Linked DNA regions of Canis lupus familiaris. The protein of the gene in region 1 purifies or fractionates together with the protein of each later gene. This does not show direct contact. Links are inferred from orthologs where the notes say so. Each region holds a gene or a part of one and is shown on either strand. Other genes may lie near its edges.

Evidence for each region.
Region 2: the proteins of SUDS3 (region 1) and HDAC1 purify together in Homo sapiens (affinity purification with mass spectrometry; 9 studies listed by BioGRID and IntAct, counting the BioPlex papers as one, with this or other methods). This does not show direct contact. The link is inferred for Canis lupus familiaris from reciprocal best matches to the Homo sapiens genes SUDS3 and HDAC1.
Region 3: the proteins of SUDS3 (region 1) and SAP130 purify together in Homo sapiens (affinity purification with western blotting; 3 studies listed by BioGRID, with this or other methods). This does not show direct contact. The link is inferred for Canis lupus familiaris from reciprocal best matches to the Homo sapiens genes SUDS3 and SAP130.
Region 4: the proteins of SUDS3 (region 1) and SIN3B purify together in Homo sapiens (affinity purification with mass spectrometry; 3 studies listed by BioGRID and IntAct, counting the BioPlex papers as one, with this or other methods). This does not show direct contact. The link is inferred for Canis lupus familiaris from reciprocal best matches to the Homo sapiens genes SUDS3 and SIN3B.
Region 5: the proteins of SUDS3 (region 1) and HDAC2 purify together in Homo sapiens (affinity purification with mass spectrometry; 5 studies listed by BioGRID and IntAct, with this or other methods). This does not show direct contact. The link is inferred for Canis lupus familiaris from reciprocal best matches to the Homo sapiens genes SUDS3 and HDAC2.
Region 6: the proteins of SUDS3 (region 1) and RBBP4 purify together in Homo sapiens (affinity purification with mass spectrometry; 5 studies listed by BioGRID and IntAct, with this or other methods). This does not show direct contact. The link is inferred for Canis lupus familiaris from reciprocal best matches to the Homo sapiens genes SUDS3 and RBBP4.

The regions. Positions count from the first base shown.
Region 1 is NC_049247.1:15,056,198-15,060,266, reverse strand, and holds the start of SUDS3 (sin3 histone deacetylase corepressor complex component SDS3), read right to left. Parts: upstream 2,801-4,069; 5' UTR 2,764-2,800; coding exon 2,622-2,763; intron 574-2,621; coding exon 504-573; intron 1-503.
Region 2 is NC_049223.1:68,324,560-68,328,059, forward strand, and holds part of HDAC1 (histone deacetylase 1), read right to left. Parts: intron 2,411-3,500; coding exon 2,298-2,410; intron 1-2,297. UniProt on the Homo sapiens protein: Histone deacetylase that catalyzes the deacetylation of lysine residues on the N-terminal part of the core histones (H2A, H2B, H3 and H4).
Region 3 is NC_049240.1:23,985,439-23,988,938, reverse strand, and holds part of SAP130 (histone deacetylase complex subunit SAP130), read right to left. Parts: intron 664-3,500; coding exon 361-663; intron 1-360. UniProt on the Homo sapiens protein: Acts as a transcriptional repressor. May function in the assembly and/or enzymatic activity of the mSin3A corepressor complex or in mediating interactions between the complex and other regulatory complexes.
Region 4 is NC_049241.1:46,153,594-46,157,093, forward strand, and holds part of SIN3B (paired amphipathic helix protein Sin3b), read right to left. Parts: intron 2,559-3,500; coding exon 2,464-2,558; intron 2,229-2,463; coding exon 2,024-2,228; intron 1,896-2,023; coding exon 1,665-1,895; 3' UTR 1-1,664.
Region 5 is NC_049233.1:70,470,522-70,474,021, reverse strand, and holds part of HDAC2 (histone deacetylase 2), read left to right. Parts: intron 1-442; coding exon 443-555; intron 556-1,595; coding exon 1,596-1,713; intron 1,714-3,500. UniProt on the Homo sapiens protein: Histone deacetylase that catalyzes the deacetylation of lysine residues on the N-terminal part of the core histones (H2A, H2B, H3 and H4).
Region 6 is NC_049223.1:68,034,542-68,037,562, forward strand, and holds part of RBBP4 (histone-binding protein RBBP4), read right to left. Parts: intron 3,015-3,021; coding exon 2,904-3,014; intron 1-2,903. UniProt on the Homo sapiens protein: Core histone-binding subunit that may target chromatin assembly factors, chromatin remodeling factors and histone deacetylases to their histone substrates in a manner that is regulated by nucleosomal DNA.

The DNA.
Region 1 (4,069 bases):
GTTTTCGTTTCTCTGGGCGCATTTAGAGAAGGCTTGAGCCTGGATGTGTGACAAGTGGAAAGAGTACTGGAGCAGGAGTCGGGAGTCTTGCTCTCCAGTCCAGGACTCCCTGAGCTCTCCGGGCATCCTGCACACCGTCAGCTCTCAGCAGGGTCACCCCCATCTGAGAACCAAATAGCTATGACACATCCTTTACTCTGAGTAATGGTTTTCACATATAGAAAAGAAAAAAAAAAAAAAAAAAACCTCAAAGGAGTGGGAAACAGTTCTCTCCTGATGGTTTTATTTCCCTGGGATCATCTCCCTCAAGGTTCTTCCTAGCCAACCCTCAAAAGATTGTTTTAACAGGAAGATCGATTAAACAGGACAAATTTAAGGGGGAAACTGTATACATACACATGATCTCTGGAAGCTCTATGGTCAAAATCATAAATACAAGGTCACTGTCATGACTTCCCTGTCAACTGTAGATTCCAAACAAGAAATTTAAGACTCATACTCACTGTTCCTTCATTTCTACATAGTCCTCTTCATCATGCTTTGCCAGGTCAGTTTCACTAGCATCTTCTGTGTCTAAAAAATCAGGGAAGAAAGGTTAAAATCATAATTCATAAAGTTGGTATCACCTGACACAGTGACACTTAAACTTCTGTCAAATGAATGCAGGCCTGCATGAAGCCATCAGTGAAAAATATTACAGTTACTTCAGGAAAGAAAATGCCCTTTCCAGTTTAGACATGACCAGATTTATGCAACGAGCTGCCTTCACCTGAAGTACAGCCAGAGAACAGGGTGCGGTGCCTCAGAGGTAGGCAGTCATGGTCAAGGCTGCAACTTCACGAGAGAAGTCATGCTGGCAGTTCAGTATCTGGAGCTGCGAATGTCAGGACAACTACAGGCGGACAGGCCTTGCTTGTTACTCCAAAATGACCTAATGAGTCCATTCTCTTCTGGTCTACCCCCAGTTTGGAACTTTCAGCAGATTTGACAACCCTATATACACAAAGAAGAATCCAAACCAATGAACCCTAACAAACTAAAATGTTTTCAAAGTTACAATAAGGGGATTCCTGGGTGGCTCAGCGGTTTAGCGCCTGCTTTTGACCCAGGGCGTGATCCTGGAGTCCTGGGATGGAGCCTGCTTCTCCCTCTGCCTGTGTCTCTGCCTCCGTGTGTCTATCATGAATAAATAAATAAAACTTAAAAAAAAAAAGTTACAATGAAAGGGGGAAGATGATCGAAGAGAAAGTGTTGCAGAACTTTTCAAACGCTGTTCTTAGACTATGTCAATAGTGAAGGGTCTACATTATTTCAACAGCCCTACTCCAGGCCGGGAATAAAAATCAATTTCGGCTTCTCGGCTCCCCCTAGTGGGCATTTAGAGCGGTCCCAAGTGTTTCACTTTCAAAACCCCTAGTGAAGCCCCGTCCTCGAATGTAATTCAATCAAACGCAATTAGTTCCTTGGACTTGGATCATGTGCACACGTCTCTGCCTCCTTAAAGGCTGCTGCAGCTCCGAGTCTCCACAGAGCCCTGGCCTCTCTCTCAGTCAGGAGGCCTTCGCTGAACTCCTGTCATCGGCCGGCCACCGTGGGGAACTGAGAGGAACCAAGCATGTTCCTTGTTCCAGGCAGCGAGCCCAACCTTCTGCTCCACAGCCAGAATATTCTACCCACATGCTGGTCTCTATCTCCTCTCTTCTCCCGTCTTTTTTTTTTCTTTCCCCCTCACCTTTCTCCGTCTCCAGTAAGCTCCTTCCTCAATCCCTCCAAAACAGTCTTCCTCACACTTGCCAAACCGAAAAGCCCAGTCTGAAGAGCCAGGCTCTGAGAAGGCAGCAATGATAACACGAAGAACGTGGGGCTGAAGACACAACACCCGGGCACCATTAGGCAAATCCCGATCTTCGCCTGGGCCTGCTTCCCCGGCGCGGTGGAGACCTCCTCGGCCGACCGGGCCCAGCGCGGCCCGCACGCCCCCTCTAACCCCCACACGCCTGCGCTAGGAAGCCCCGCTCCGGGCTGAGGAAACTGAGGCTCGCAAGCTCAAGTAATAAGCGGCCTAAGGTCACGAAGCTGGGTTCGGCGGGGCAAACCGAGACCCTGACCTGGCTGGTCCCAGCGCCTTCTCAGCAACCCGAACTCTCCACCTGCACCGGGCTGGCCGCACGGTCGGGGCGAGCAAGCTGGGGACCTGGAGGCCAAACTGGCCTTCACCCGGAGCCTCTCCGGACCTAAAAGGGGGAGGGGGCGGGGGCGGGGGCGGGTCCTCAAGGTACTCTGAGGAAAGCTTCCTCATCCCGACCAGCAAAGCCCGGAGCGCAGGCTCGCCAGAGGCGCTTGCGGGAGTGGAAAGGAGCCTTAAAGGGCCCTCCGGCTCCGACAGCAGCTCCCCCAGGCCCTCCTTCCCGCGACCGTGAGGGCACGACGTCCCCCCCGGACCCCCCGCGGCCCCGGCCCCAGAGCCCGTGGGGGTCACTTCCTGCAGCCGCGCTCCTCCCAGCGGCCCCGTCAGCTTCCCCCGGGCCCGGACTGCGCTCCGGGCAGCGCCCTCACTCCCGCGGCGGCGGACGGCCCCGGCCCCGGCCCCCGCCCCCGCCCCCGGCGGCCGCAGGACGCACCTTCGTCCGACTCGCGGCCCCGGCAGCTGCGCTCGTCGTCCTCGGCGCTCTCCAGCTCCTCGTCCTCCTCTGGGTAGAACTCCGGAGCCGGCGGCGCTCCAGCCGGGGCCGGGGCCGGGGCCAACAGCCCTGCAGCGCTCATGTCGCCTCTGGCCGCGGCTGAGCGTCCCACCCAGCGGCCGCGGCCGCGCGCCCTGCGGACTCGACGCCCGCCTCGCAGCCCCCGGGGGAGCCGCCGAGCCGACGAGCGGGAGCCGCGGCCGCCGCGGGAACCCCTTCCCCGTCTCCGCCAAGCCCCGCCCCGCGCGCCCGCGCTCGGCAACGGGGGCCTCGCGCCGGCGGCGACTTCCGGGTCGTGGGCTGCCCGGGGACCGCCCGACTCCGTCATCCCTGGGGAGGAGACGCCGCCCGACGCCCCCTTCGTTTTAACCTCAGCGACTTCATCGCAGTCTTAAAAGTCCTCGACGGGCGGTGGGAGGGGCAGAGACAACGTTCTCTAGAGTTAGGCAAATCCTTGGACGTCCCTGGCCGCGGCTAGGACCCCCGAAGCTCGCTGGCCACTTCTGGAAATGGCCGCCAGGCGGCGCAAGGAGCCAGAACTAAAGCGAGGAGCCTTAGCGACCTGAGAGGCAGAGGGGTTGAAGGGTCCTGGGAGGTGGAGGTGACCTCCTTCCATTGAAACGGCTGAACGGCTTGAACCACCCCCTTTATAGGTTGGGAAACGCTGACATCTAGAGTTTTTGTGATCATCTCCCAGAGCCTGGCTCCTCCCCTAATTGGAGCTTTATTGAAAACGAAAAGGCAAAGATGCTGATATTCCATCCGTGGGTCAGCAAAAGGATGTTTTTCCCCGTCCGTGGGAGTCCTTTCTGTTTGTCTAGGTGTACTCAATAAGGTATTTCTCCAATTTTACAGATGAAAACGTTTACCTAAAAAATGGTAGCGTCCCGGCTGCCTTGTTTACATGATCACACCCAAGCGCCGTACATTACTGCCGCCTCATTTCTTAGAATATTAATTTTTTAAAAGGTGCTCTTCCCCACCCAATAACTTGCTAACAACTCCGAACTGAGCAAGCAGAACATTTTGCCTGCAGGAAGTTAATTACGCCGACATAAGGAAGGTGCTGTGTGGAAACTTAGAAAGGGAGAGAACTGGGGGAACTTGGGTGGTTCAGCGGTTGAGTGTCTGCCTTTGGCTCAGAGTGTGATCCTGGGGTCCTGGGATCGAGTCCCACATCCGGCTCCCCATAGCGAACCTGTTTCTCCCTCCACCTATGTCTCTGCTTCTCTCTGTGTCTCTCATGAATAAATAAAATCTTAAAAAAAAGAGAGAAAGAGAACTGAATACCCACATAAATTAATGCATATGATTCCATCTGAGTAGGAGACACTGTTATTAATGAACAAATTTAGGATGTCCCTTGTCTAGCTGTGGGTAACAAGAAA
Region 2 (3,500 bases), on another chromosome or scaffold:
TGGCCCAGAGCGCGATCCTGGAGACCCGGGATCGAGTCCCACGTCGGGCTCCCGGTGCATGGAGCCTGCTTCTCCCTCTGCCTGTGTCTCTGCCTCTCTCTCTCTCTCTCTCTCTGTGTGTGACTATCATAAATATATATATATACTGAATGAAAGAGAGAAAGAGGGCTTGAGGTAACTTTTGAAGATGAGTAAAATATGACTGGGCAGAGTAATCCTCCCAGTCAGGATGGGGTAGAAAGAGGCAGAATCTGATCTGAGGGTTCTGAGAGGGGAGTGACAGAAAAGGAGGCAAGCTAGAGCCAGATTAGCAAGGTATAGATGTATAAGAGGGAACTCTGGAAGGTCTCGGCGCTCGCTATTCCACATTCAGGTATCCTCTTTTTATCTAAATGCTAGTCTACTCCCTAGAGTCCCTCAAAACCTCTGTCTGCTACCTTTTATGTTTTTCATTCTCAGATGCCTTTCACACCTGACAAAGGTCTCTGGTCCCACATCTGCCTGCTCCTCTGTCTACCTTCCCTCCTTGCTTCCCCAGCTGCCTCCAGTGGCTCTAGGGACATAACAGGGCCATCTGAGACAGAAGACTCATCTCCTCTCAGTCTCTGGAATGGTGAGGAAGGATACTGCTGTTGCTAGGTTACTTAAGCTGCCAGCACAGACTTTAACCACAGACTCTTAGGCTCTAACCATAAGGCAACATAGGCTCCCAGCCCTTCTTTATTTTCTCATTTGGACCTTTGCAACAGCCTAACTGGCTTCCCTACTAAAATGCATGCCTGGAGGCTCCTGACTGGCTCAGTTGGTGGAACATGTGACTCTTGATCTCGAGGCTGAGAGTTTTCACCCCATACCGGGCAGATTACTTAGCACCTGGGTGGCTCAGTCGGTTTAAGCATCCAACTCTTGGTTTCAGCTCAAGTCATAGTCTCACGGTTGCAGGATCAAGCCCCATGTGTGGCTCTGCACTCAATGCGGTCTGCTTCAAATTCTCTCTCCCTTTCCCTCCCACCCACTAACTCTATTTTCTAAAATTTAATTCATTTTTTTAATGTATTTGACAGAGAGAGAAAGCACAAGTAGGCACAGAGGGAGAAGCAGGAAGCCTCATGTGGGGCTCGATCCCAGAATCCTGAGATCATGACCTGAGCCGAAGGCAGACACTTAACCGACTGAGCCACCCAGCTGCACCCCCCCAATAAATAAATAAAATATTTTAAGAATAAATAAAAATAAAATGCATACCTGTTTTATCTCTCTTTGATTTAAAATCCATTACTTGGGGATGCCTGGCTGGCTCAGTCAGTAGAGCATGCAACTCACCATCTTGGGGTTGAAGTTTCAGCCCCACACTGGGTGTAGAGATTACTTTAAAAAAAAAAAATCTTTGGAGCACCTGGGTGGCATAATCAATTAAGTGTCCAACTCTCAGGTTCAGCTCAGAATACGATCTCAAGGTCTTGAGATCAGGCCCCACATTACAGAATAATATGGATCCCTAACTTCTCTTTAAAAACTGATGGTGGGGGCACCACCAGTGGAGGCATCCCTCTCCATATGCTTGTGCTCTCTCTCTCAAATAAATACAATCTTTAAAAAATAAATAAATAAAATAAAAACCGGTAGGTGGGCAAAAATCAGACGGAACTGAGTCAAGCAGTTTAGAGTCTATGCTCTCTAGTAATTAGGGACTTGTCTAGCTCAACATAGTCCCAATTGCTCTTTTTTTAGGCATTGGATTTTTTTTTTTAAATCCTGGCCCATCAGAGTTGCTTATTACATAGTACAGCATATCCAATCCTTGCTGACCTCTCCAACTGTAGGTCCCTTTACTCACACCCGTGAGACCTTTACACTATAGCACTACCTAGAAACTACTCATAGTTTCCCCAAACACACCATACTGTTCTTACCTCTTTGCCTTTTTGTTTACACTCTTCCCTTGGTCTAGAATGTCAGTCCCCTCCTGAACTCCTGGCTAAATTCTATTCAATATTTAAAATTCTGCTCAGATAGTACCTCCAGGAAACATTCCAAGGCTTCCCTTCCTCCTTCACTTTTCATTATCTCTGTATCTTGTACATTATTTAATTGTACGCCCTCAGACTGTAGTACAATTTATTTGTGTACCTGTCAGTCTCCAGCACTGGAGCGAACCCTTTAAAAACAGAAATCTCTTTCAATGTCTGCCACATAACAGCCCATTCGACACATCTGATGAATGAGTAGTTGAGAAAATGAGATAACATAACTAGAGCTGATGGGGTTAGGGAGTGGTGGGGGTCCCAGTAACTCACATAGATTTCCATTTTTCGGTAGAGACCATAGTTAAGTAGCAAATTGTGAGTCATACGGATTCGGTGAGGCTTCATTGGGTGGCCTTGTCCATAATAGTAATTTCCAACATCCCCTGAAGAAAAAAGAGTGACAGTTTCAGTGACACAGTTAGACATACACTCCCAGGAGAATCCAGGAATTTTTATAACCATCTCCTAATCATATTCTTTCTCTTTCGTTCTAGTCCCCAAGATTCTCACCCACCTTGAGGAAGAGTTAACTCCAAAATAAAAATAAAACAAACAAACAAAAAAAAACAAAATAAAAATAAAACAAAACAAAACAGGAACAACAAACAAAAAAAGCAGGGGACTCTGGTGAGTCCAGCACTTAAAGATATAAGCCTAGCCGATGGGATCCCTGGGTGGCACAGCGGTTTAGCGCCTGACTTTGGCCCAGGGCGCGATCCTGGAGACCCGGGATCGAGTCCCACGTCGGGCTCCCGGTGCATGGAGCCTGCTTCTCCCTCTGCCTGTGTCTCTGCCTCTCTCTCTCACTGTGTGCCTATCATAAATAAATAAAATTTAAAAAATTAAAAAAAAAAATAAGCCTAGCCGACAGGCACTACACAGTGTAAAAACGGTTCATTCCAAAGCTACTGGAGAATAGCAGGCAACAAGGTGATTCACCTCACCGTATCTGCAAAGAATTCACTCCCACAACAGAAAAATAACCATTACTATTCAGAATTATTATAAGTCACAGTTCACCTCTTTCATATTAAAACACTTTATGGGGTTAAAGCACATTTACATTTACTTTCTTAATGGATCCTCAGGGGCAGCCCTGGTGGCGTAGCGGTTTGGCGCAGCCTGCAGCCTGGGGTGTGATCCTGGAGACCCAGGATCGAGTCCCACATCAGGCTCCCTGCACGGAGCCTGCTTCTCCCTCTGCCTGTGTCTTTGCCTCTCTCTCTCTGTGTCTATGAATAAATAAATAAAATCTTAAAAAAAAATTAATGGATCCTCACAAGAACCTGGTAAAACAGGAGTATTATTCCTATTGTATAGATAAGAAAACTAAACTCTTATCATCTCTAGCTTCCTCTATAGCAATAGACTTCTAATTGGTTCCTCTGTCTTCAACTCAAAACTATCTGCCACACTGACCAGTTATTTTTCTAACACACAGCTTTAATAACACCATTCCCCTGCTCAAAAACC
Region 3 (3,500 bases), on another chromosome or scaffold:
CTCAACACCTAAAAAGGATACCAACAATCCTTAAAAATGATACATTAATTTTACAGCTTCATATACAACTCCAAAAAAAATCTTAAACAGAATGAGAACACTGTAATAAGGTGAATTTGCTCTCTCAACTTTATGGAGTGCTTTAACACATGCAAACGCATATTTGGCTGTTTATGTATATATTTCTTAATGTTTACAATGACTCTGACAGATAAATTACAAGCAATTCATGTTAAAAAAGGGAAATTAAGGCACAGAGAAATTAATCGAGACTACCTAACCAATATGTAGCAGAACCAGGATTTAAACCTAGTATCACTCTTTCCTCCATACCAACTTCCATGCAAAAACTCAAATTACCTGAAGTCTTTCCTTCAGGCTGTGGCTGCTGAGTACCCATTGGTGCAGGCTGAAGTCCCTGTGTGCTGATTGGGGTTGCTGAGTGAATTCCCTGTGTGCCCATTGGTGCTGGCTGTATTCCTGGAGTCCCGATGGGGGCTGGCTGTATCCCCTGTGTACTGATGGGTGCTGGCTGGATCCCTTGGATATGTCGAGCATGAGAAGCATCTACTGTCATCAACTGCATGGGGTTTAGGTGGACCGTGGATGCTACCCCGACACCAGTTTGAGCTGTGATGGCAGAGTTTGGAGCCTGAGCGGAAACTGAAAATGATGCAGAAAGTGACTACAAGAATGTCAGCTCTGATTAGACACAGTCCACATAAAGAGAAAAACACTAAAATGAAAACAGAATTTTCCACCCTAAAAGATCTAAATCCTCAGTTTTGTGGTTTTTTATTTTTAAGAAGGAGAGAGAGAATCCTCAGCAGATTCCACACCCAGCACAGAGTCCAATGTGGGGCTTGATCTCATGACCCTGAGATCGTGACCTGAGCTGGAATCAAGAGTTGGATGCTCAGCCAACTGAGTCACCCAGGTGCGCTAGTCGTCGTCTTCTTTTTTTTTTTTTTAAGATTTATTTATGAGAGTGAGCGAGAGAGAGAGTGAGCGAGTGCACACAAGTTGGGGGTGGGGAGTGGGGAGGGAGAGGGAGAGAGAATTTCAAGTAGACTCAGTACAGAGCACAGAGTCTGATCTGGGGCTCAATTTCAAAATCCCAAGATCATGACCCAAGCCAAAACCGAGTCAGATGCCCAAATGACTATACCACCCAGGTGCCCCATAAATCTTATTTTTTCCCTAAGCACTACATAAAGCTCTATATATTAGAGTTTTTTCCCCTCACTTCCTATCAGTTTGATATGATGTTGCTGCAGATTACTAGAAAGAGCATTAAAACAAGAAAAAATAAATCATCTATTAAATTCCAAATAGGAACAGGCAACTGTGCTAAATAAAACTTCTTTTTTTTTTTTCAATTTTTATTTATTTATGATAGTCACAGAGAGAGAGAGAGAGAGAGAGAGGCAGAGACATAGGCAGAGGGAGAAGCAGGCTCCATGCACCGGGAGCCCGATGTGGGATTCGATCCTAGGTCTCCAGGATCGCGCCCTGGGCCAAAGGCAGGCGCCAAACCGCTGCGCCACCCAGGGATCCCTAAATAAAACTTCTGAGATACATCCGTAACTCCCAGGTCAAGAACCTTTACTCTAATTGATGGAACCACCATCACAGGTATTTCTGATATATGGCAACTATGAATTTGAACTTCCACATATCCACTGAAGAGAGAGAACAAACAAGTTTCCTTTTCACTACTGTATATATTAAAAACAAACTCAACAACAACAGAACTGAAAACAACAGTATTCCCAGGAATCAAAAAAGAATTTCTACTTATGGAAAGAATAATATAAATGATGTTTCTTCTCAGTCATCAAAACAATCCAGAAAAAGATATTTGTACCCCATATTCACTGAAACATTATTGACAATAGCCAGGATATCAAAACAACCCAAAGGGTCCACTGAGGGATAAATGGGTAGAGAGAATGGAATCTCTATCTACACACACACACACATACACACACACATAATTTAGCCTCAGAAAATTAAATCTTGCCACCCGTGACAACATGGATGAATCCTCAGGGCATTATGCTAAGTGAAATAAGCCAGACAAAGACAGAAAATCCCCAGTATGATCTCACTTATACATGGAATTTAAAAACAAATATAAACAAACCAAGTTCATAGATACAAAGAACAGACTGGTAGTTGCCAAAGGCAGGAAATGGGGGTTGGGGGTGGGAGACACAGGGAAGGGCATCAAAGATACAAACTGCCAGTTATAAAAGAAGTAAGACATGGGGATGTAATGTACAGCATGGTGACCATGGTTAACAATACTATATTGTACATCTGAAAGTTGCTAAGAGGATATTTCTTTAAGTTCTCATCACAAGAAAAAACAATTTGTAATTCTGTTGTCAATGGATGTTAACTAGACTTATGGTGATTTGATGACATACACAAATACCGTATCATTATGTTGTACCTCTGAAGCTAATATGTTTTTTTTTTAAATTTTTATTTATTTATGATAGTCACAGAGAGAGAGAGAGGGGCGCAGAGACACAGGCAGAGGGAGAAGCAGGCTCCATGCACCGGGAGCCCGACGTGGGATTCGATCCCGGGTCTCCAGGATCGCGCCCTGGGCCAAAGGCAGGCACTAAACCGCTGTGCCACCCGGGGATCCCTGAAGCTAATATGTCAATGATACCTCAATTTAAAAAAAGGGGGAAACTATGTAATTTAAATTTTATAAACCATATAGCAGTTAAGAAAAGGTAAATTGTTATCACCAATGAGAAAATTACAATGAAATGTTAGCACATTTAAATTCATAAGACTGGGCAGCCCAGGTGGCTCAGCGGTTTAGCGCCTCCTTCAGTCCAGGGTGTGATCCTGAAGACCCAGGATCGAGTCCCATGTTGGGCTCCCTGCATGGAGCCTGCTTCTCCCTCTGCCTGTGTCTCTGCCTCTCTCTCTCTCTGTGTCTCTATGAATAAATAAATAAAATCTAAAAAAGTTCTAAGTTCATAAGTTCTTCTAAGTTCATAATGACTGCTACATTGCAATTCTTCCCCTGTTGTAAAGAAAGAAAGAAAAAGAAAAAAAAGAACTAACCCCCCCAAATTATTAGTTTCTTCTTAAGAAGTGAGTAAACCTTTGTTTCTCAGTAACAGTTGTGGGCACTTGCCTGAACATGCAGTCTAGTCACCACTCCAAGCCTTTCAAGATCCAATCTCATTCCATGTTCTGCATTCTTACTCACACTACACTCCTGCCAAAACCAAACTGCTCTGTTCCAAGCACATATTCTATGCTAATACTTTATTCACACACAGGAGAGTGCTCTCCCCAAATCCTACCCCATAGCTCTGTCTTGTGCATTGAGAGGTTTTCCAAATTTCACTTCCTTTAGGAAATCACTTCTCACCTCCAACCCTACCCTCTCAAGTGGAAATAACCTCTCTTAACTCAAAAGCAGGCTGGCTTTGCTTAAGCCTCTTTTACTGGAACTTGGCACTTCCTAG
Region 4 (3,500 bases), on another chromosome or scaffold:
AATGTGCAAATAAATAGAAAAGGAAAAACTACATTCAAAACAGCTGCAAAGGAAGTACAAGCCCCAGAACAGAAATTCTTCAAAAACAGAAGAGACGCTCCCTAGAAGCATGCAGGGCGGGGCTCAGTGGGGTGTGGCCCGCACCCCAGGGCCGCAGAGAGGCACGGAAGGGGCCACGGGCTCCGGAGGATGGCGCTGGGAGGGTCTGGTTCAGGAATTCCGGTAAGTTCCCTTCTTATAAAACAAGGATGTGGACAAAGTGCCTGGTACACTTGAGCAAACATGGGCTAGAAGACCCTGGGCAGGGCACACTGGCCCTGGAATCGCCCAGACCCCGAGTCAAAGGCTTTGCAAACCTTGAGTTCCACAGGTAACTTCTAGAAACACATCTCCAATCCCCAGAACTGCATATTTGGCACAGCTCAGTTTTGGGAGGGTGAGGGCTGCTGCTGGGCAGAAAGGAGGCCGCACGGGGATGGTTCTGGAGCCCCTGTTGGTTGACCCCCTTCTGATGGTGCCAGGAGCCCGGCCAGGACTTTTCATGGTGCAGGAATTCTAGAGAGCTGGTCCCCAGCCCAGACTGCTTGGCATTCTTGGCACAGAAAGCCTCTGTAGGGCAGTCGCCTCAGCCCCTCATGCCTGTCCCCTGTCCAGGTGGTGGCTCTAGGAATGGCAACGTCAAGGGCAGACCTGCAGAGTCCCACGAAGAGGGCTCTCAACTGCCCAAGGAACCGTGGGACTTGGCTGCTGCAGAAGTTACAACCACTAGGAGAGCTTATGAATAAATACTTGTGTGCATATATATATTTCTAGAATGTCCTTCTTAGGTACATGGCCGCACCTCTGGCCCCCCCACCAGTGTGGGGCCACTCGAGCTCCAAGGGAGTTTCAGGCTGAGCCCCCTCCCCTCGGGAGCTCGGAGTGTGGCTGCCATGTCAACACAGGGTTTGGAGTCCCATTTCTTCCAGGGTGGGGCCTCCCATGCCACATCCTGACACCAAAGCAGAATCTCAACAGTTTGGCCCAAAGGGCTCCTCCTGCTTTCAAAGTGACCAAGGACCCCACGCATTAGCAGGGCCACACCCATGCCCAAACTATCAGATGCAGGCATGGTCCCAGCTTGGGAAATTTCCAGAAGCTTTTAGAACCATTCAGGAAGGACAAGCTTTTCAAGCAGATCCCCCAGGCCCGACTCCTTCGATGTTGGGGTCTCTTGAATGCCGACCCCCTCCCCCACACATGCCCCCCAACGCGCAGTTCATCACGGACTTTTCCAGACACTGCACAAAAGGACCAGTGGTGCCCTCACCTAGGGATTTGGCACGTGTGATGAAAGCGGCCCAGCAGGTGCATAAAGGCCATCACTTGCTCCTCGGCCAGCGTGTTGATCCTCCCCCTTCCAGCAAGGAGCGAGCCCCGAGTTCAAGTGCAGGAAGGGGTCAGGTTTGGCACGGGATAAACCCAAAGGAAGCAGGGAAGCCGAAAGGGATGGTAGCACAGGGCCACAAGCCGACACAACCCTATCCTCTAGAGCTCGCAGCCTGTAGCAGCAAGGCTGGGGGACACTGTGCTCCCCTCAGGTTGTTCATGAGAAGGCCCCGATGCACATCTGGGCCAGGGAAGTGGCTGCACCAAACCGCGCGTCATGGCGCCCACCGAGGGAGTCAGGGCGAGGCTGGGCGGCGGCTGTACTGCACTCGGTAGCGGGTCACAGGCAGGCCGTGCACGTGTGCCGTCTCACAGAGGGTCTTGCAGGGCACCATGTCCTCGTCCTCCTCGCCCATCAGCCAGTCCTGCACCAGGCCAGCCGCCTCCACTGTCACGTTGTCCTCCAGCCAGCGGCCATGCCACTCCTCAAAGTGCTGGTGGTGGCGCAGCAGGACCAGTGGTTGTACCTGCAGAAGGGGGTGGGGAGGGGAGTCAGGGCAGCCCCAGATAGCCGTGGGCCGGATCCTGGGGGGAAAAAGGGTGCACACCACTCCCAGACAGCCGTGGCTCCCAGGCCCCGGGCAGAGAGGGGCACCTGCTTGGCCCGGCAGAGGGTCCCACGGCGGTACATGTAGTCCTCGGAGTTGACGATGAACATCATCTTGTGGGTGCTGAGCTTGAAGCGACAGTCCACGTTGCAGGCGCTCTCGACCCCGACCAGCCGCTTCCAGGAGCTCTTGGCCTCGCCGCGCAGGGCACGCACCTGCTCACACTGCCACCTGCGGAACTTCTTGAGGTTCCTGGAGGCGAGAGGAGGATCTGCAGACTGGGAAATCCTCACAGCCCGTAAACGCCGGGAAGACGGCTGACTTCCCCGGGGTCAGACAAATGCAGACCGATGTGGTGGAAACCACTACCCTACCCCTTTGGCCAGCAACACGGGGAAAACCAGTCAGGCCCTGGTGCTGGGCCCTGCTGCTGCCGGTGGTGGGAGCGGGTCCCCCGGGAAGGAACCACATCTGGGGGTCCTCTTACCTTTGCAGGAACACGGGCTTCAGGAGAAAGCCCTCGGTGGGCGAGCTGGATGCCCCCTCGGTCCCCACATACTGCTCCACATACCGAGCCAGGTGCTGTGGGGACATGGGGAGACAGGCCCGTGTCATTGGAGGCACCAGCCTCTCACCTGGGACCCTGAGCTCAGGGGCTCCCAGGGATTTCATCCTCAGTTTCCCAAAGCATCGGGAGGGTGGCAGCTACTGAGGAGCCACCAGATGGCAGCAGCTCTGGCTGAAGCACTTGCCCAGAGCCACAAGGTAGACAGCTGTGGCATTTCACGCTTGGGTGGATAAGCACACCTGCTATATGACATCCTCTCTGCACCCGTCACGTGACAAGCTCCCCCAGGGAGCGGGGCCTTCACACAGAGGAGCTGGATCCGAGGAGCGGCAGGGACAGGCCAGGCAGGAGTTGGGGATGAGCAGAAGGCAGGGCTTGCAGGGGCTGCTCAGGTCAGGGGTGAGCATGGTCTGCCGTGTCCAAGTGACCCTCCCTCTGTTCACCACCTTCTAAAAGCCACAGGCTCCTCCAGACTCAAGCCTCACAAAACCACATTTGCTGGAAACTTCTGGAAGGAGCAGGGTGTACAGACCCCCACCTACACTTGTCTGGGAAAGCATCTGCTGTTGGGAAGCCCTGAGGCCCACAGGGAAGGATTCCACAAGGGGACCCCCACTGGCTGCAGTAGTGGGGAGGGCCCTACTCTGTGAAGGAGGCTAGGGGCTTAGAGGCACCGGGATACCAAGTGGAATGTGCATCTAGAGTGTGGGCCAGGGGGTTTCTCCTGGTGACCAGGGGCTGGGATCCAGGGCTCTGGGCTTCAGGCACGGGGAGTACAGGGCCACACGCCACAGGGTCGGAGTGACCATGCAGGCCATGGGCTCAAGGGGGATGACAGTGTTTGCAGCAGGTGGGAGGAGCCAGGAAGAGGGTTTTGGGGAAGGATGGCCTGGCTCTCACCTGCCTTCCTGCCCTGGACATGCACACTGGCTCCTGATGGGGCATGTGCAGTGGCC
Region 5 (3,500 bases), on another chromosome or scaffold:
TCTCTCTCTCTCTCATGAATAAATAAATAAAATCTTTTAAAAAAAAAGCAATATTTGCTGTAAAATGTTTAAATAACAATGAAACTCAGAATTTGCTTTAGGCGTCTGAATTTGTCCATAAATACAAAAAATTAATTTTCAAATTTAAGTAACTAAAACTACTGTTATAAGTATTTTATTAGGGCTAATCCTAAATAAATTTTGGCAAACTGAAAATCTGAAAAGCTTGCTTGCTTTTAATCTCTAATAAACGTGTATTAATGAAGTTACCACAGTTAACGTAACCCAGTATCTTGGCTTTCTAGTACAGTTTGAAAATTGAAAGATCTGAGATCATTTCAAGTTTTAAATCTTGATTAGGTGGTAAGTGCCTTGTGATGATGAACACACATAAATTTAGACTGTAAAGATTCTCTATTCAGTTGTCTTTTTTCTATTTTAGGTGATATTGGAAATTACTATTATGGACAGGGTCATCCCATGAAACCTCATAGAATCCGCATGACCCATAACTTGCTGCTAAATTATGGCTTATATAGAAAAATGGAAATATACGTAAGTATACCTTTTGGTAAATATTCAGTGTTGTTTTTTTTTTTTTTAATCTACTTTGAAATTATTAATCCCCTTAAATGGCGTTTAGCAGATGAAAACAAACTCTGGAAGAAAACAAACTCTTTTTGTTTTAATCTTCAGAGAAAACAGTGTGGGAATGGTTTTTAACCCTCTTACTCGACCATTTTTCAAAAGTTTCTCATATCCCACCTTTTCACATTTTGGCCAACAACTCAGTTTAGCAAACTAAATATCTTTGTTGCAATAGTGGTTTACTTGGCTGTGCTGCTGAAGAGTTGACTATTACAGAAGAATTATGTAGGAAATTCTACAAATACTTACTGACATATGGAGCAGTGTATTAGTGGATGTGTACAGTACAGCTAACATTTAGGATACACCTACCTTAAGTGCTTTTGCACTAATGTGGAAGTATATGTAAACAAATGCAAGACACAGTTCTTGCCTGTTTGGGGAGAAAAGAAAGACTTGAAACAGTTACTAGTATTGAGTATATATGAGTTACTTTTTTCAGATAACAAATATTTACAGGAAAGGAGGGGTTGGATTATATACTTTCTGGAAGCCTCCTGGGAAAAGTGTGTTAAAAATGAAATTGAGCTCTTGGGAATAAGGATAATTAGGATAGGCAAAGGAAAGGAAGAGATTGTGAACAAAGACTTAAAATTGAGCTTGAGTCTCAGTCTCACTTGATACAGAGCAGACGGTTTATGATGGAAAGTGAGAGTTCCTGAACAGATTCAACTTTATAAGCATTGACCCATTTCCACTGCAATAAAAGGAATGTATAATTGGGGTCAGACCTGTCTAATGGCTTTAAAGGAGTAGGAATTAGCTTTGGAATTGATTACTCATTTCTAAGAAATACACGTATAAATTTGGATTCACTTTGGAATTTATTTTCTGGCAGAGCTAGTTCTTCTGAGAGGATTGTTAGGGGAAATTGTGTACGTGGTGTTTGATGACTCTGATGTAACCAGTTGTGGCTCCACCATTCTGACATTTGTTTTTCTTCACAGAGGCCCCACAAAGCCACTGCTGAAGAAATGACAAAATACCACAGTGATGAGTACATCAAATTTCTACGTTCAATAAGACCAGATAACATGTCTGAGTATAGTAAGCAGATGCAGAGATGTACGTTTCTATGTTAAAAGTCTATGTTAATCTTACTAAGGATCAGTGAGTATTTTCTAGAAGCATATCATTAGAATATCCACATGTAGGTGTTCCGCCTGAGGAAGATACTTCCTTAGTTAATTACTGGTTTGAAAAGTCAATGTAAAAATTAAAAATACTAAAACTGCTTTAAAAAAAACAACAAAAAAAACCAGGCGCCTGGGTAGCTCAGTTGACTCACTGATGCTGAGCTCGAGGCTTGCGTCGGCCTCCGCACCCAGCACAGTCAGGTCCCTCTCTCCCCCTGCTTGTGGGTGCGCCCTCACGCGGACCTGAGCACTTTCTCTCCCAGAAAGAAGGAAAGAAAATCGTAAAACCCAAAACAAAATCTACCCGAAGCCTGAGCTCTTGGGAATAAGGATAATTAAGATATCCATCTGCCAGACGGCCCAAGAGCTGTCTGGATGTTCCTCTAGTCTTTGTTTTGGTCCCATGTTACCTTGGGGATGATGGGTATTGGTGGGGAGACCTTACTTCCCTGCCTTTTTAAAAAAAAAAAAGTCTACTTGGATTGGCCTTAGCTTGGTGTATGTACGGATCTCTTACCTCTCTTTGTGTGTTTTAGTTAATCTGGATTGTTAATACATAATCTGTTCCATTTGTTAGTGAAGCTTCTTCTACGTGATTTTGATTTTGATTTTCTTCTACGTGATACTCTCTTTTATAGATACGTGTTTTGTTATTAGCGGTTGCCTGGCTTGAAAGTGGAATGAGAAATGTCTTAAAATGATTGAAACAGTTTTTTTTTTTAAAGCATGATACTGAAGTTCATTCTCATCAGCAGTTCTGTTCTCTCATGAATAAATAAATAAAATCTTTTAAAAAAAAGCAATATTTGCTGTAAAATGTTTAAATAACAATGATTTTAAAATCACTTCAGTGATTTTTTTTGAGAAGAACAATTTCAGATACTAAATTAGGTGTAGTGGCTTGATAAGTTATACATTCATAGAACTTTGTACCCATTTCTACCTTAGATTATTTCATTTACTCAATAAAATGCTATAATGCATGTAGAACATATTTTTTATACCTTTTTTTTGGATACAGGTTCAGGCTTAGATTAAAAGTCCTGTGTAGATAGGGCAAATGAATTAACAGGATTGATTTAATACATAATACTGAATTATATTAAGATTATGATTATATTTAAATAGTAAGAAACTAAAAGCTGTTCATTATCATGCTAATAAACTAAAGGTATACAAAGCTATGTAAAATAATTACCCTTATTTTTGAAGAGGTTATAATTGGGGTGGGAAGAGGCTGCGAATGGGTCATGTACATAAATAATATGTCCCTTTAATCCTGTCAGTACTGAGGAACTAAATATATTGCAATGTGTCATGTACCCGTGTTGTTTCCTTGTGCTTTACCCCTTCCTTCTATGTCTTGGCTGCTCCGAACCTAGTTAATTCTTACCATCCTTTAAGATTGGGTAGGCAGCCAGCTGCTTTGTCTTTTTAGTACTCACTAAAATATATTTCAAAGTTATGGATGTTCTGTGCATTTAAGGAGTTTTAGAAAAAGTAAATCATAAAGGAATTAAAGTTTTTTAAGTTTTTTAGAACCTTGATTAATTTGTTGTATGTTTTAGGAGAAATGCCTAATATTTAAGTGCGTGTTTTAATTTAAATAATTCAAATACCTTTTATATTTTGGTGGCTATTGATCTTCTGATAATAGAGCTGAGATTTTCTACAAATTATCCTGGTAGGATTTGGTGGTGATGTTTTACATATAAC
Region 6 (3,021 bases), on another chromosome or scaffold:
TGACACGACTGAAGAGTTCTCCCAACTGTTTTTTTCAGGAGACCAATCCCATCCTGAGGCCTTCCAGAGGCCCCAAAATTACCTCCTTAGCTTAAACTCAGGTATGGCCAAAAGGGGCTCCTTAAAAACAGACTCCTACCACTTAGACAACCTTAAGGGTTTTAGGATCTTGGACAAACACTGAATATTCACTTGTTTAACAATTCTATTGTTCTTTTACCACTATTCTAAAAACACGGAGCAAAAGAACAAACTGGCCTGAAGATGATGTAGTTCAATATCCTGCAACATTCCACAGCAACTAAAATAGGTTTAATTGACAGGCTATCCCAAGGCAGCACATATCACCCTCCTGTCAGAACTCTTAACTTTAGGGGCACCTGCGTAGCTCAGTTGGTTAAAAGACTGCCTTTGGCTCAGGATATGATCTCAGGGTCCTGGGATTGAGGCCCATCTGAGGACATTGGTCTCGCTGCTCAGTGGGGAGCCCACTTCTCTTTCTCCCTTTGCCCCCCACCCCACACATGTGTGCATAAATAAAATCTTAAAAAATGTTTAAAGAGCTCTTAACTTTTTATATTAATTATCTATGCATATATTACAAGGAAAAAGGTGAGGTAGATTTTCTGTTTATATGTGTAATACGTACTTATTATTACAAATCGTAATAGTGATAGGTATATAAAGAAATCCAAAGGGCAGCCTGGGTGGCTCAGCAGTTTAGCGCTGCCTTCAGCCCAGAGCATGATCCTGGAGATCCAGGATCGAGTCCCATGTCGGGTTCCCTGCATGGAGCCTGTTTCTCCTGCCTGTGTCTCTGCCTCTCTCTCTGTGTATCTCATGAATAAATAAATAAAATCTTTAAAAAAAAAAAAAAAAAAGAAATAAAAAAACTCCCTAAATATACCAATCTTATGGCAAAGAGCCTCCTAAATAATTACATATAATTAAATTCAAGACTAGCTATAATAATATGAGGGATTATAAAATGCTATTTATTGTCCAACGATCTGCTTTTTTCCCTACTTCATGTCATGAATATCTTATGAAAACGAAGCATATTTCTTTTGGATATATAACATTTCAAAGTATGGATATACTATGTAACTTGTTAATCTCATAAGCCACAAAAACTCATTTTTTTTCTTTCCATTTCTTTTTCTTTTTCTTTTCAAGATTTATTTATTTATTTATTTATTTATTTATTTATTTATTTATTTATTAATTAATGAATGAGTGACACACAGAGAGAGGCAGAGACACAGGCAGAGGGAGAAGCAGGCTCCATGCAGGGAGCCCGATGTGGGACTTGATCCCTGGACTCCAGGACCATGCCCCGGGCAGAAGGCAGCACTAAACCGGTGAGCCACTCAGGGATCCCCTTTCTTTTCATTTCTTTAACTTTGATTAATAGTGCTATTCTTCAAGAGAGTTCTGATTATTTAAAGTATTTTTCCTTACACTGAACCAAAAATTTTCCCCTGGAGCTTATTCCTACCTCTACATCTACTTTAAAACACCAAAAGCTTTTTTTCCAAATCTTTTCATTCATCAGGCCACGATCATTCAAAAGTTATGCAATTAAAAAATGGTGGTAAAAATAAAAATTTAAAATTATAAAAATAATTTAAAAATTATTATATAAAAATTTGCCATCTTAATCATTTTTAAGTGTTCAGTTCAGTGGCATTCACCTTGTCTGCAACTATCACCACCATTCATCTCCAGAAGGCCAATGTTTCTTATATTGCTATATATTAGACAATTTAATAAAGATATCTTATTAAATTCCAAGCACTCGGGAAATTCAAAAACGGGTAATCAATTCCCAATTGGGGTAAAAGGGGCAGGAGTATTTTGGGAATCTAGTAACACTTCATGGAGAAATGGCAGTATGTGATTCTGTGCCATTGTGGTAGAAACTGTGCTAGGGGGATGCCTGGGTGGTTGAGCGTTTTGCCTTTGGTCCAGGGTATGATCTCGGAGTCCTGGGATCAAGCCCCACATCGGGCTTCCTGCCTGGAGCCTGCTTCTGTGCATCTCTGCCTCTCTCTCTCTGTGGGTCTCTCATGAATAAATAAAAAAAATCTTAAAAAAAAAAAAAAAAAAAAAAGAAACTGTGCTAGGCATGTTCACAAACCACATCAAAGGAATGATCATTCCCAAAGATTCAACAGCTAGCAAAGCAGGGAAAGCAGGAGGCCAGCAAGGAGGCTATTGCAAGAGTCTAGCAAGTAGTAATGAGAACATGACCAAAAAATCAGGGTGTGTAGTAGAAATAGGAAAGTGGGGTATGTAAGTGGTTTATCTGTAAGGTGAGTACAGATACAAGAAACAATGCATACAATGTAAAATCTGTTAAGTAAACTAGACTTAGAGGTGAATAAATAATGAAGAACTCGGGCAGCCCCGGTGGCGTAGCAGTTTGGCGCCGCCTGCAGCCTGGGGTGTGATCCTGGGGCCCTGGGATTGAGTCCCACATCAGGCTCCCTGTATGGAGCCTGCTTCTCCCTCTGCCTCTCTCTCTGTCTCTATGAATAAATAAATAAAATCTTAAAAAAAAAATTAATGAAGAACTCTTGAATTTTCAAGTTGGATGCGCTGGGGGGCGGGGGGGGGGGCGGGACACTACACTGGAGCCATATAGGAAACAGGAAAATCGGGAGAAAGGGGGAATGAGGAGGAGGAGAGAAGTGTGGTTTCCTTAAGTCTGAGATAAGCAGTGTGATAAGCAGCTAAAAGCAATGAGCAGGCACTTGAAAATGATAATGTGCAGCAAATGCTAAAATCATACTTAGGAGTAAACTAACCAGAGATGCCAGCTGTATTTGTAAAGTCGATAAATATGAAGTGATACTACATCTCATTTATTTAACTTCCCCCAAATAAATGACACCACTTACCATTTGCCACACTTGCATGATATTATCTTCTGATACAGAACAAATCACCCAAGGTTCATTGGGATTCCAGGAGAAATCAGATATCTTGGCAGTGTGACCACCATGAATAAACTGGAAG